Canis lupus familiaris: one gene and its partners. The protein of the gene in region 3 purifies or fractionates together with the protein of the main gene of each other region. This does not show direct contact. Links are inferred from orthologs where the notes say so. Each region holds a gene or a part of one and is shown on either strand. Other genes may lie near its edges.

Region 1 (4,445 bases), on a different chromosome or scaffold from region 3:
AGCAATTTACCAACAAGTAAAAGTTAATAATTACTGTAAGACATAAATATGCAAAGAAGAACTGGGACTGATGTGGGTTAATCACAGAAAGTTCTATGCAGAAGAATTTTAAGAATCAGGATTTTAAAAGCAGAAGGAACCCAGATAGTCTGAGATGAGACCTGAAGCTTGGAATGGGATTCTGAAACAAGGCTCTTTACCTTCCAAGTGTTGGGGGGTAGGTTCCCTGTTCACAAGGCTCCAACCCCCTGAGGCCTCCACTCAGTGTCACTCAGGAGACGCTCCCAGTAACCCATCTTGTTGGCTATTGTCCGACCGAGTCTTCCTTCCTAGTGACAAGCTCCATCGCCAAGGGGATGGATGTGATGTCACAATCAGGAGCACTCTATTAATAGGAACAAGGAAGAAAAAGGTGAGTCAGGGGAACTACCTCCACCGGGCAGTGAGACTAGACAGACATGGATCTGGCGACTGGTTGAAGAGACGATTTCATTAAGGGCAACACGTTTCAGAGCTGGGGACACAAGACTGCCTTCTAAGGATGGAGATCACTGGCTAAGGAATCTCAGACTCACACACACAATCCAGGAGATTCAAACATAGCTGAGACAGGCAGAGAAAGGGACAAGAAAAAAGGTAAAAAAGAGTTGTTTGAGACAGAGGAAGATTCTCGTATTCAGCGCACACAACCACAAGGAATGTCAATGATTCCAGATCTGTGGCTGTACAATGCAGAGATCAACGAAAGCTTACACGCAGAGTAGAATGCTTTAATGTTTCCCAAAGGCTTTCACAAAAATTACCGAAATCATGTAAAAAGAATTCTAATCCTACCCTCCGCCTGAAAAATACTATTTCATAAGAAGATACTCAAGAATGTTCATACAGGTATGAATCTAGTTTCCAAGTCTGAAAATATTCCTGACAGGATCAGGCTCTAAAAAAGAAGAGGAAGAGGTAATGAAATGGGAAATTACTCCTGAGTGGGCGACTAGGAAGACTAGAGGTATGATTAGGAAGATTAGACTCTCATTGCTAAGAGAATGAGACCAAGTAAAGGGGGACAGGCTTCAGATGAAGTGTGCTGTGAGGTCTACTCAATACAGATGAAGTGTGCTGTGAGGTCTACTCAATACTACTACACGGGAGAATAGTAACTGTTCAAACTCCCTTCCTCCCCATCATATGGCCATCAACAGATTAAGGGCTGTGTTACAAAGCAAAAGGATGATGATAATTTTTATGCATAAAACTGAGACCATTTCTTCTTCTGAGTCTGGTACTCATGCTCATTAGTTTACTATGCTCATCAGCCAAACACATTTAGTGTGGTATTTTCAAACCAGAGAGATAAAGGTGTAATGTCGGACACACTTTCTCTTTGGGGGGTAGGGAGGAAGTTGTTTCTCCCTCACCCATAACACAAGAGGAGTGTAATGCTGCCCTCATTTTGACAACACCCTATTTCCCAACAGCCTGGCATATGCACCTGTACTTCACAAAATGCTTCCAGGAACCACTGTTGGTGGCTCTGCTCAGTCTTCTAGTGACAAGCTCCAGACTCAGCAAGCAAATCTTGCCCATGCTGGAATGCTCCCTTAGCCAGAAGAAAACAGGAGTTTTCAACTAAGAGGAGGACCAGGAGTTAGGAGACCTGGGTTCTGGTCCCAGCTCTGCCAACTGCAAGGCCTTTAAACAAGTCAGTATCTCTTCTGTAGTTTTCAATGTCTTCACCTGACAAGTAGGAAAGATACCTGCCTTTATCTACCTTACATGTCGTCCTGGAAAATCAAAGACATAATAAGTGTGAAGACATACTGAATACAGCTGTGTTTCAGGTAAGGCATTTGTAACAATAGAATGCAAAATAAATTTAGAATACTGGAGGCTAGTGAGGAAATGCTTGAAAGCAGCTTGTTCCTTTTCAATGACCAAGAACCAGCCCCAGACACAAAGTCTGGCTGGACACACAGAGTAGTAACATCATCACATCCCTCAGATTCCTGTCCACTAGTCTACCCCATTCCCATCTGGGGGAAAACTATCAGCCAGCGACACTATCGACTTCTTGCCTAAAACCACCTGTACAGGACCACCACCATCGCAGCCCAGTCCCTTGGGCAAACACTCTCACCTCTCTCGGCTTTCTGCTCCTCCGTCAGCCCCCTCCCCCTTCCCCAGTTTCGCAGAGTGCTGGGTTAGGGCAGGCTCTCTGGTGTGTGAAGCCTGCGAAAAGGGCCCGGTTGCAAAGCCAAGGAAGGGATGTAAGGAATGTAAGATTCCTTCAAGGAGGGGGGCGGGGGGGCGGGGGAAGGAATGGAGGAAGACAAGGCTGCCAAGGACCAGGCACGGGAGAGGAGCCAAGCTCCGCGCGGCGAGGGCGGGGGCTCAGGTTCCACCGCCCCTGCCCAGGCTACCCCCCAACGTCCCCTCCCCTCCCAGCCCGCCGTCACTGCCATTTAAACACCACGTTGTAGCCCCAGGTCCCCTCCTCCCGGTCCTCCCGTCGGCCAGGCCCCCTCCCGCACCCGCCTCCCCTACTCCAAAGCAGCCTCCAGCGCCCCTTCCTCACCTCCGACTCCTCCCTATTCCCGCTCCCTTCCTCCATTTCTCATCTCTGCTCCCGTCCCTTGTCCCGACCTCCGGTATCTCGAGCCCCCGTCCCAACCCCCGCGGGACATCTCCCCCTCCCGTCCCACAGCCTCGTAGGCGGGAGCCGGCGCAGGCGCAGTACGCACCGCCCTGGAAGCGGTCTGGACCGTCCGCACCCCGGCCCGGCTGGAGCGGAGGCCGCGGCGGCCGCGGGAGAGCGCCGGTGCCGGTCCCGGCCTCGGCCTATCCTGGGAGGGGAAGGGGAAGGGGAAGAGGAGGGAGGGTCCCAGCCACTCGCCGCCGTGCGCGGAGGGCCCCTCGCCCCGCCCACCGCTGCTACGTAACCCGGCGGAAGTTCGTCACCAGGCCCCGCCCGCCGCTGCTGCGCATCCCGGCGGAAGCTCGTCACCAAGCCTCGCCTCCTCGCCCAAGTTGGATCTGGACTAGAGGCCGCGAGCGACCAACGAGGAGGCGGGGAGCCTGGCCGGGCCTTCTCTCTCCGCCGAAAATGTTTATGATCCCGACGCGGACTCTGTAGCCATGTGGGAGGGAGGACTCGGTGCTTCCCAGCGCCAGTGTGGGGGCGGAGCCCGATGCGGACTCCCAGGGGGGCTGGACCGGGCGGTGGAGCAGCGTCTAGCCCGCTCTCCTGGGGTTGGCCGGGTGCGAGGTCGCGGCGGGGGCTGGCCTGCTGCGGGGCCGGCCGTCTGCTGTTTCCAGAGCGGTGGCCTCCGTCCCGGAGCCTCCCGACCCAGTGATTCATAGTCGCGGGAGAGGATAGTGTAGTCTACTGGGCGACCACTGGGTGGAGGACGAGGGAGCGGCTCGCCGCAGAGCTCTGATCTGGGGTGCCCACCGGGTGGCTGCCTTGCTCCTAGACGCAGAGTTCCCTGAAACACCCAAGGGGAGGGGCGATAGGATGTCCCTCTTCCTAGGGACACAACACGGTAATTGGGAGCGTGGGCAGGAGAGAACCTGGGACCCGAGGAAAGTCAGGCCGAGCCTAAAGCGCTCCGGACGGTAAGGAATTAATCAAGCCAAGACATTACAATGACATGACCTGCTAGGCTAATCTGATATTAGATAGTATTTGTTATGGATATTCGCTAAACAAATGGTTGTGGTTTGTGTATGTGTAATTGGCTTATACACAACCCTACCGAGCTGGAGTGTTCTGTTGATGTTCTGACAAGTCCCAAAGGGCCTCCTCTGTTAACTCCTCCGGGGGCGGGGAGACCCTGGGCTCTAGGTAGATAAGTGCATTAGGAAGAGGAGAGGGACTAAGGCAAATGCTGTTCTTTGTGCCCCGGGTTCCATTCTTCCAAAAACGCTGAGGCAGCCTCTGGTGTGAAGGCTGCTTTTTCCAAAACCGTTACGAAGCTGGGTGGGGGGGTGCATTAAAGATGACCCCAAGGGACGCCTGGGTGGCTCAGCGGTTGAGCGTCGTCGGTCCGGGGCGTGACCCCGGGGACGCGGGATCGAGTCCTGCTGGAGCCTGCTCCTCCCTCTGCCTGTGCCTCTGCCTCTCATGAATAAATAAAATCTTCACTAAAAAAGAAAAAGAGGGATCCCTGGTGGCGCAGCGGTTTGGCGCCTGCCTTTGGCCCAGGGCGCGATCCTGGAGTCCCGGGATCGAATCCCACGTCGGGCTCCCGGTGCATGGAGCCTGCTTCTCCCTCTGCCTGTGTCTCTGCCTCTCTCTCTCTCTCTGTGTGACTATCATAAATAAATAAAAATTAAAAAGAAAAAAAGAAAAGACCCCAAATCAGGAATAAAGGTGAGCGTCATAGCAGTGGGAGAAGGAGCTGTGCCTGCTGTGGGCTAAGCACTGCTTTTTATATAACCTAGGTTTT
Region 2 (4,625 bases), on a different chromosome or scaffold from region 3:
GAGCCCGACGTGGGATTCGATCCCGGGTCTCCAGGATCGCGCCCTGGGCCAAAGGCAGGCGTCAAACCGCTGCGCCACCCAGGGATCCCTATAGTTTTCTATAATTTAGAGGAAAAGGACTACTCAGCCAAAGTCCTAAGTGGCACCACTGAGCCACCCAGGTGCCCCGAGCATCTGCCTTTGGCTCAGGGTGTGATCCTGGAGTCCCGGGATCAAGTCCCATATCAGGCTCCCTGCGGGGAGCCTGCTTCCCCCTTTGCCTATGTCTCTGCCTCTCTCTGAGTCTCTCATGAGTAAATAAATCTTTAAAAAAAAAACCATAAATCAATTGAATGGCAGTGTCTACTCACTTCTTATATAAAAGGCAAGTTTGGAAAAAATGCTTGCCCTCAATGAGCATTTGATGCACCAAAGGCTTTTCCTCCGAACAAGTTCAGACTTGTGGATGGATGAAAGGAGGCCCTTTGTGTGGCACACAACTGACTTTGCCCGGACAATAAAAGAAAACAGGACTTCCAGAAACATGCAAAATATCTACAGCTTCTGCATGACAAAAATTCAGCACAAGTACAAATTTTAGCTTCTCTAATTTCATCTTGCCTAAAATCCTCCCCAAAAAGAGAATGGTAAAATAAACCAGTAACTTAAACCTCAAACCCTAGGTTTAGGTCTCAGGTTTTGAAGAAATATTGAACTCTTCTCTTCAGATAAAAAGAAGAATTTGAAAAAAAAAAAAAAAGAAGAAGAATTTGATATCCTCGTGTAAGTAAAAATCAGTGATTGCACATATACCATAAAACACTGATCTTCTTTTTTACATGACATCACTGTTTATGTTACTAATATCTAAACAGTGTTGCTGTTACTGTAAGTGATCCAGATCGTCACTGACAAACACAACAGGTTTCTGGGTGACAGGTTCATCTGGGATGTTGGCATGACAATTGTAGGATCTGAATCCCCCTTCCTCAAATTCCTGACTGTTCTTGGTCATTGAAGAACGGTTCATTGTCCCTAGGCCAAGAGTCAGAGGCAAAACAGGAGCAGCCCAGGTGTTGTGTGGGGACGCTGCCAACAGGAGAGCCACATGTGTGTGCCCACATCAATCCTGAGACCCTATAAACAGCCCAGTTTTCTTGGAAGCCCATTTTTTATATATGTGGCAGTGGGGTGGAGATGTCTCAAGATTAAGGACTGCTTTCTTTTATCAAGAAATTCATTCCCCAGGGCACTTGCGTGGCTCAGATAGTTACACATCTGCCTTCAGCTCAGGTCATGATCTAGGGGTCCTGGGATAGAGCCCTGTGTCTGGCTCCCGGCTCAGCTGGGAGTCTGCTTCTCCTTTTTCCCTCTGCCTCTCTCCCCTGCTTGTGCGTTCTCTCTTTCTCTGTCTCAAATGAATAAATTAAAAATCCTTTTAAAAAAATAAAAAAAAATGCATTCCCATCATTCAGAGTGAGCCATATTCCAGAGCCATCAACTAGCCCTGGGGGCAGGAGGTAGGAGGAACTGGAGGCCGGAATGTCTAGACCTCAAAGCACCCAGAGGCTCAAGGGGCAGGAGAAGAGCTGGGTTACGGAGTATTGAGGGAGACAATTTTGGACAACCCCCATCCACCCCCACATCATGTCTGTACTAAGAAAATTGTCAGACACAAATAACCACCACTCACAGTGCACCTGCCATGTGCCACCTGCCCTGCCAGGCACACGTTATCTCATTTAACTATATTAAGCCCAGGACAGTTAGCATTTCTAGTCCCAGTTTTCAGGTGACTTATCTATGGTCACATATCACAGAAGTGAGAGAATCTGAATTTGGGTCCAGGTTTGATGGGACTCCAAACCTCTGAACTTCTTTCCCCACAAAAATTAAATGTACTCTTCTTAAAACCTTTGAGAGTCCTTTCTTCTACCTCTTGGCTGTTGTTTGTTTCAAATCCAGCTTTTTTTTTTTTTTTTTTTTTCTTTATCTGCCCTGCACATGTGGTAGAAGTCTGTGTCTTGTGCAATGTCCCTGCTTCTAGGTTCGTAGCTACTTGCCCCCAGCGTCTCCCCCAGGGTGAAGAGGGGTCCCTCCTGTGAAATCTGCCCCTCTCAGATATTCGCAGTCGAGGTACCCTTGGCTGGATAGGGCCTAAGCCGGATGGGGGCTTTTAGCAAGGGGGACAAACCCAACCCTGTGGCAAGCACAGCCGGCCTCACCCTTAAAGCAGATCACCCACAAGTGTCAAGGCCTCGAGTTTACTGATTTCCCCCAACTTATTTCAAATGCAACAATGGAGCCATTTTCCAGAAGGCAGAACCAAGCGGGGGTCATAAGGCAGCCCGAGTTTTCACAGCGGTGCCAAAGGCCGTACGAATAGGTGAGGTTCTGAACCCGCAAGTCCCATTCCCCTCGGGGCCTGCCGCCCCGGGGCCGCGCAGCGCTCGGCCCGCCCGCCCGCCCGCCTTCCCTTCCCAACCCTGGGCATCACCTGGGGAATTTAAACGCAATTGAGGCCTGGGTCCCCCCCACCCTCCCCCGGACTCTGATGTAAGACCGGGGCCTTCTAAGCTGCCGGGAGGATTTAGAAAATTCCCCGATTCCCCAAGGATCGATGATCCCGCAGACACTGAAGTTCATCCGTCTGAACTTTTTCTGCATTTCTCCTCCCGGTTCCACCCGGAGCTCTGCCCGGGGAGCTTCGCGCTGCGCCCACAAACCCGCCCCCTCCTCTCTGCGCTCCTCGCTCGCGGCGCCCAGGCCCCTGGGAAACCTCTTCCCGGTGCGAACCACCGCGCGTCGCTGAAACTTACTTGGGTTCGTCCCGTGCAGACCTCGATGCAGCTGAGACCCAGAGCGAGACCCGGAGCGCGGAGACCCCCGGAGCGCGGAGACCCTCGGGGCGCGGAGACCCCCCCCCGGAGCGCGGAGACCCCCCCCGGGAGCGCGGAGACCCCCCCCCCCAAGCGCGGAGACCCGGGAGCGCGGAGACCCTGGGAGCGCGGAGACCGCCCCCCAAGCGCCGAGACCTCGGAGCGCGGAGACAACACCCCCCCCCCCCCCCCGCCAAGCGCAGAGACCCGGGAGCGCGGAGACCCGCCCCCAAGCGCGGAGACCCCCAGAGCGTGGAGACCCCCCCGGGAGCGCGGAGACCTCGGAGCGCAGAGACACCCCCCAAGCGCGGAGACCTCGGAGCGCGGAGACACCCCCCCCAAGCGCAAAGACCGGGAGCGCGGAGAACCCCCCCCAAGCGCGGAGACCCCCGGAGCGTGGAGACCCCCCCGGGAGCGCGGAGACCCCCCCAAGCGCGGAGACCTCGGAGCGCGGAGACCCCCCCCCCAAGCGCGTTGACCCGGGGAGCTCGCGGCGCGGGCGGCGGCGGCGGGAGGCTTGGGGCGGGAGCGGCTGGGCCCCGGCCCGGAACGGGAACTGGCCGGGAGGGCACCGGCGGCCGCGCCCACGCGCCTTAGCTGGCGCTGCGGAGGGGGAGGCGGTGCCAGGCGGTCGAGGCGGGGTCTGCGCTTGGGCCGGGCTGGCGGGAGGTGGGGAGACGCGGGGCGCGGAGAGGGGCGGGGGCGCGAGGGCCGCTGCGCGCGGGGCCGGCTGAGCCCGCGGGAGAGCACGCTCGGAGCGACGCGCTCGGGAACGGTCCTCGCCAGGCGGGCCGCGGCGGCCGAGAGCCCGGGCCAGGCCTCTGCAAAGCACCCCCAGGGGGCACCCGGGTGGCTCAGCGGTCGAGTGGCCGTCGGCTCGGGTCCGGACGCCGGGGTCCCGGGATCGAGTCCCGCGTCGGGCTCCCTGCGAGGGGCCTGCTTGTCCCTCCGCCTGGGTCTCTGCCCCCTCTGTCTGTCTCTCCTGAATAGATAAATAAAATCTTTAAAAATTTTAAAAATAAATTTAAAAAATAAAAGTACCATCCCAGATCCTGCAACCAGAGTCGAAGTCGGTGAAACTCTTGTTAAAATGGAACCCGTGTGCCAGGAGGAAAAGCTTGTCAAAGTAATCAGACTTGTTGCAACAGAGCATTTACTTCGATTTATACTTTTAAAAATCTAAGCTTTTCTTCCTGTTCTTAAATCTGTTCTTGGCTGCACATCTTACACCGTTTACGTGAATCCGTGATTTCCCCCAACCAAATACATTTTCAATAAATTTCCCCAATAAAATATGTATAAACCTTTTAAACGGGGAAAGTCTACATGAGGCATACTGATTCTATCATGTGTCGTTCACACTAAAATGCATTCAGTCTGTGACCGCAAATGCTCAAGAATAAGTTCCTATCAAAGGTTGCCTTCTGAGAAAAGTATGTTCAAACTCAAAAGTAAAACTTTATCAATGTAAAATTGATAAGATACACCAAAATGAAGACAATAAAGATACTAATTCTTTCCATTTACCCTTATATTAACCTCTGGTAGAAAAATTAGAAAGATTCTCTTTTCTTCTAGGATTCTGAATTTTATGTTCCATAACTTTTAAACTCTCATATTTTATATATCCTGTTTCTTTGGCTCCATTCTGAGTAACCTCTTCATTTCTGTCTTTCCATTCATTAATTATTTTGCAAATATTTGAATCTGCTCTTTAACCCATCTATGGTAGGCAGAGTAATACCTTCCCCCCCCCCCCCATGATGT
Region 3 (4,605 bases):
TGAATAGAAAAAGAGAGTGTAGCAGGAACCTAGAGCAAAGAAGCTACAAGATGCCTACCTCAAAGGCCTTATCTTGTACCTTACATTACATATCTTCATTATAGCCCTGTGAAATAGGTCCTATTTAGTCCCACTTCACAGAAAGGAAATCTGATCCAAAGTGACAACGGGAATTTTCCTAAAGTTAGAGTTATTATGAAGCCAGGGTTTTGATCCAAGCACTCTGATTCCAGAGCTTGTGTTTTTAAAGTAAACTACCCACAATACAGGGCTCACACCCACGACCCCAAGATCAAGAGTCTCATGTTCTACCAACTGAGCCAGCCAGGTGCCCCCAGAAACCTATGCTCTTAACCACTATTCATACTGGGCCTCAAAAAAGTCTCATAATTCACAAATCTTCTCTCCCTAGTGATTCGAGACACTGTATAGTTTTCCTGACTACCCTGGTTGGCCTCCAGTCTGCTTATGTTCTTAGTATATTTCGTACACCACCCCATTATAATATTTACCTTATATTTTAATAATCTGTCGACTTGTCTTTCTCTCCATTGGACTGCAAACTTCCTCAATGCAGTCTTTTCATCTTTAGATCCTTGGCTCCCAGTACAGAATTCACCACTAACATATATATCTTATGTTGAATCAATGAAAAATGTGAATCAGCTTGATACAAACATTTCCCTTTTAACCCTAACTGGATGGTCTTACATAAGAACATAACATTTTAACTAATGTATTATCAATTATTTTAACTAATGTATTATCAATTTCAAAATAACCAGATGACTCCTGAACAATGAGGTGTGTTAAGGGCACTAGCCCTCACAGCCGAAAATCCACTCTGAGTATAACTTCTGACTCCCCAGTAACTTAAAAGCCTCCTACTGACCAGAAAGAAGCCTTACCAATAACACAATTAACACGTATTTTATGTATTATAAACTATATTCTTACAATAAAGTAAGCTAGAGGGAAAAAATTATGAAAACTGTAAGAAAAACACATTTACAGTACTGCAGGCATCGGGAAAAAAAATCCGTATTAAATAGGCCAATGCAGTTCAAATCCTATGTAAGTAGGCCCACGATGTTCAAGGTCGACTGTGAAAAGGTCACTTCAAGCTTTTTTTTAAGTATATTTATTCATGAGACACAGAGAGAGATGCAGAGACATAGACAGAGGGAGCAGGCTCCCCATGGGGAGCCTGATGTGGGACATGGGGAGCCTGATGTGGGACTCGGGGAGCCTGATGTGGGACTCAATCCCAGGACCTTGGTTTCATGACCTGAGCTGAGCTGAGAGCAAGATGCTCAACCACTGAGTCATCCAGGTGCCCCCACCCCAAGCTTTAAAAATAACTTTTTCAGGTGCCTAGGTAGCTCAGTCCATTAAGCATCTAACTCTTGATTTCTGCTCATTTCATGTTCTTGGGGGTTGTGGGATCCAGCCCCACATTGGGTTCTGTGCTGAGTGTGGAGCCTGCTTAAAATTCTCTCCCGCTCCATCTGCTTCTCCCCTCCATCTTTTCTCTCAAATAAATAAATAATAAAAGGAACACTTTCTCTTACAATCATTCTCCCCACTTCCCAGTTTCTGATTCAGGTTGGTGTGGGTCCTCAGAATTTGCATTTCTAATAAGTTCTCAGGTGATGCTGCTGCAGCTGGTCTGAGAATGATGCTTTTGAGAATTACTTTTCCACAGCACTAGACTAAGAGTCTGGAAACTTATATCCCAGGGGTCCCATTCTGCCTCTACTTGGCTATATACATCTCTATGACAGATCATTTGGATTTCTTTGGGTCTCAGTTTTCTTTTTTTTTAATTTTTTTTTTATTTATTTATGATAGTCACACAGGGAGAGAGAGAGGCAGAGACATAGGCAGAGGGAGAAGCAGGCTCCAAGCACTGGGAGCCTGACATGGGATTCGATCCTGGGTCTCCAGGATTGCGCCCTGGGCCAAAGGCAGGCACCAAACCGCTGCGCCACCCAGGGATCCCGGGTCTCAGTTTTCTTCTGTAAAATGGATGGGTACGTACTAGACCACATGAGCTGTAAGGACTCTGAATAACCTCAGATGGAGTCCAAGAATCTGCATTTCTAATAAATTCCCAGGTGACGTTAATGCTGCTGGTTCAAAAAGCCACACTTTAAGAATCTAGGTACTATAGTAGCTAAGCACATGCCTATTCTATGTAATTTCATTCCTAGCTCTATATATATATATATCCCTCCCCAAAAAAGTGTGCTCACCAAAATACCCGTATAAGTAAATTCAAAGCGGTTTTATTCATACTAGCTAATAACTGGAGGTAAGTCAAATGTCCATTGTTAGAGTTGTGCTATACTTTTACACAATGAAATACTACACAGCAATGAAAAAAACCACTTCACACAACATGGACAGATCTTACATGAGAGCACCAGACTAGTGTGCGTTACTGTTTATGGGAAGTACAAGAACAAGAAAAACTAATGGTGATGGAGATCAGAATGGGAGTCGGCTGGTAGGTAAGGGGAATTATTGGCTGAGAAGCAGCAGGAGGAGGGAGTTAGGATGGAAGTGCTCTCCACCTTGAGCTGCGAGATATATACATATATGGCAGCCTCAGTAGTTGCACACTCAAGATCTGTGTTATTTATACGTTAGCATACATCAAAAAAAGTTTCTTTAAATGAGGAAGATAAGTGACAAAATTCATTACAGGAATTCCCTTTAAAAGCAACCCACATGGGGATCCCTGGGTGGCTCAGTGGTTTAGCACCTGCCTTCAGCCCAGGGTGTGATCCTGGAGTCCCGGGATCCAGCCCCACATCAGGCTCCCTGCATGGAGCCTGTTTCTCCCTCTGCCTGTGTCTCTGCCTCTCTGTGTGTGTGTGTGTGTGTCTCTCTCTCATGAATAAATAAAGTCTTTTAAAAAAAAATAAAAGCAACTCACATAAATTGGATTTCCAAAGACGACACTGGGGTAAGAAGATCATAACAAATGCAGATTCTGAAATACAGCTGTCTAGATGACATAACGAATTGTGAAGAAAGATGTTCACAGTGCCTCCTCTAATACTACTCTATTACCGATCCCAGAAGCCTCACTAGGAAATATCGTAGCACAACTCATGAACCAACCATTTTATTTCAGGGCCTTCATATCTAGATCCAAAGAAACACTCCGACTTATAAAGCCCTCTAGAACCTTAGCCCTGGTTTACTCCCTACCTCATCGCTGACTCCTGTGTCATCCCACTCTTCTTAAACGGGTCTTTTTGCTACTCCTTGTACAAGCCAACGTCATTCCAACATGGGGATCTTTGCCCTGGCTCTTTTTCTGCCTGGAATGCCCTTTAACCAGCGCTCACTCCCCAAGCTTCTGCTCAAATATCATCTCTTCTGAAAGACTCTACTACCCACGTGGCAAATTTCCCTTAAAAGTCCCGGGGGGGGGGGGGGGGGGAGGGAACCTTTCTTGCTTCAAATTGCTAAGCTTACCTACATTGGATTATAACAAGCGAACAGGTTTGCTTTCCTTTCTCCCTCCTGCTTCAAACCAAGAAACCTCTGCCTAAATTCTACAACCAACTCCATCATGTATCCTTAGCTTAGCCTCTCTTTATTATTCGTAATTACTTAAATCTTGCTCTTTTGACTTTTTTTTTTTAAGATTTCATTTATTCATGAGAGACACAGAGAGAGAGGCAGAGACACAGGCAAAAGAAGAAGCAGGCTCCATGCAGGGAACCCGATGTGGGACTCAATTCTGGGTCTCCAGGATCACATCCTGAGCCAAAGGCAGACGGTCAACCACTGAGCCACCCAGGTGTCCATTTTTTTTAAAAGATTTTATTTATTCATGAGACACACAGAGAGACAGAGAGAGAGAGAGAGAGAGGCAGAGACACAGGCAGAGACAGAAGCACGCTTCATGCAGGGAGCCCAACATGGAACTCAATCCTGGGACTCCAGGATCACAATCACACCCTGAGCTGAGGGCAGGTGCTAAACCGCTGAACCCCGCCCCCCCCCCCCCCCCCCCGGGGCTGCCCTCTTTTGACTTTTCTTTATGGCTTTCCAATCTCTCACTTCACACAGCCTTTAAGCCCGTGAAATACATAAACAAGACTTTAGGCCTTAGCAGTCAAGTGTCTTGCACAAGGCACCCCCCCCCAAAATAAATAAATAAATAAATAAGCAAAATGAAATAAAATAAAAAATAAAAACCCTGCTTTGATAAATGAGTGAATAATGAGCAGTAACGGGACATCTGGAAATACCCAGAGACCTACGGGAAAAGAACACCTGGAATGTAAGAACGACAGGGACGATTATAAAATGAAAAAAACAAAACAAAACAAAAAAGCAAAGAAAAAAAAAACAAAAACAATTAACAAATCTCATCAAGCCTAGATTTTCACTTTTTCCACTTCTAGTCACAAATGCCACTTAACAAAAACAAAAAAACAAAAAACAAAATCGGGGAACCTCGGGGGGGGGGGCGGGGAGGGCTCAGTGGTGGAGCGTCTTGCCTTTGGCTCAGGTCGTGACCCCGGGGTCCCGGGATCGAGTCCTGCGTGAGGCTCCCCTGCACGGGGCCTGCTTCTCCCCCTG

Evidence for each region. Proteins that work in one complex are often made in the same cells at the same time.
Region 1: the proteins of SUGT1 (region 3) and RNF41 purify together in Homo sapiens (affinity purification with mass spectrometry; 3 studies listed by BioGRID and IntAct, with this or other methods). This does not show direct contact. The link is inferred for Canis lupus familiaris from reciprocal best matches to the Homo sapiens genes SUGT1 and RNF41.
Region 2: the proteins of SUGT1 (region 3) and NOD1 purify together in Homo sapiens (affinity purification with western blotting; 3 studies listed by BioGRID and IntAct, with this or other methods). This does not show direct contact. The link is inferred for Canis lupus familiaris from reciprocal best matches to the Homo sapiens genes SUGT1 and NOD1.

Annotation. Positions count from the first base shown.
Region 1 is NC_049231.1:895,194-899,638, forward strand, and holds the start of RNF41 (E3 ubiquitin-protein ligase NRDP1), read right to left. Parts: upstream 2,937-4,445; 5' UTR 2,739-2,936; intron 2,711-2,738; exon of another isoform or gene 2,573-2,710; intron 386-2,572; 5' UTR 201-385; intron 1-200. UniProt on the Homo sapiens protein: Acts as E3 ubiquitin-protein ligase and regulates the degradation of target proteins. Polyubiquitinates MYD88. Negatively regulates MYD88-dependent production of pro-inflammatory cytokines.
Region 2 is NC_049235.1:43,318,702-43,323,326, forward strand, and holds the start of NOD1 (nucleotide-binding oligomerization domain-containing protein 1), read right to left. Parts: upstream 2,937-4,625; 5' UTR 2,799-2,936; intron 1-2,798. UniProt on the Homo sapiens protein: Pattern recognition receptor (PRR) that detects bacterial peptidoglycan fragments and other danger signals and thus participates in both innate and adaptive immune responses.
Region 3 is NC_049243.1:9,668,732-9,673,336, reverse strand, and holds the start of SUGT1 (protein SGT1 homolog), read right to left. Parts: upstream 3,000-4,605; 5' UTR 2,985-2,999; coding exon 2,942-2,984; intron 635-2,941; coding exon 513-634; intron 1-512. UniProt on the Homo sapiens protein: May play a role in ubiquitination and subsequent proteasomal degradation of target proteins.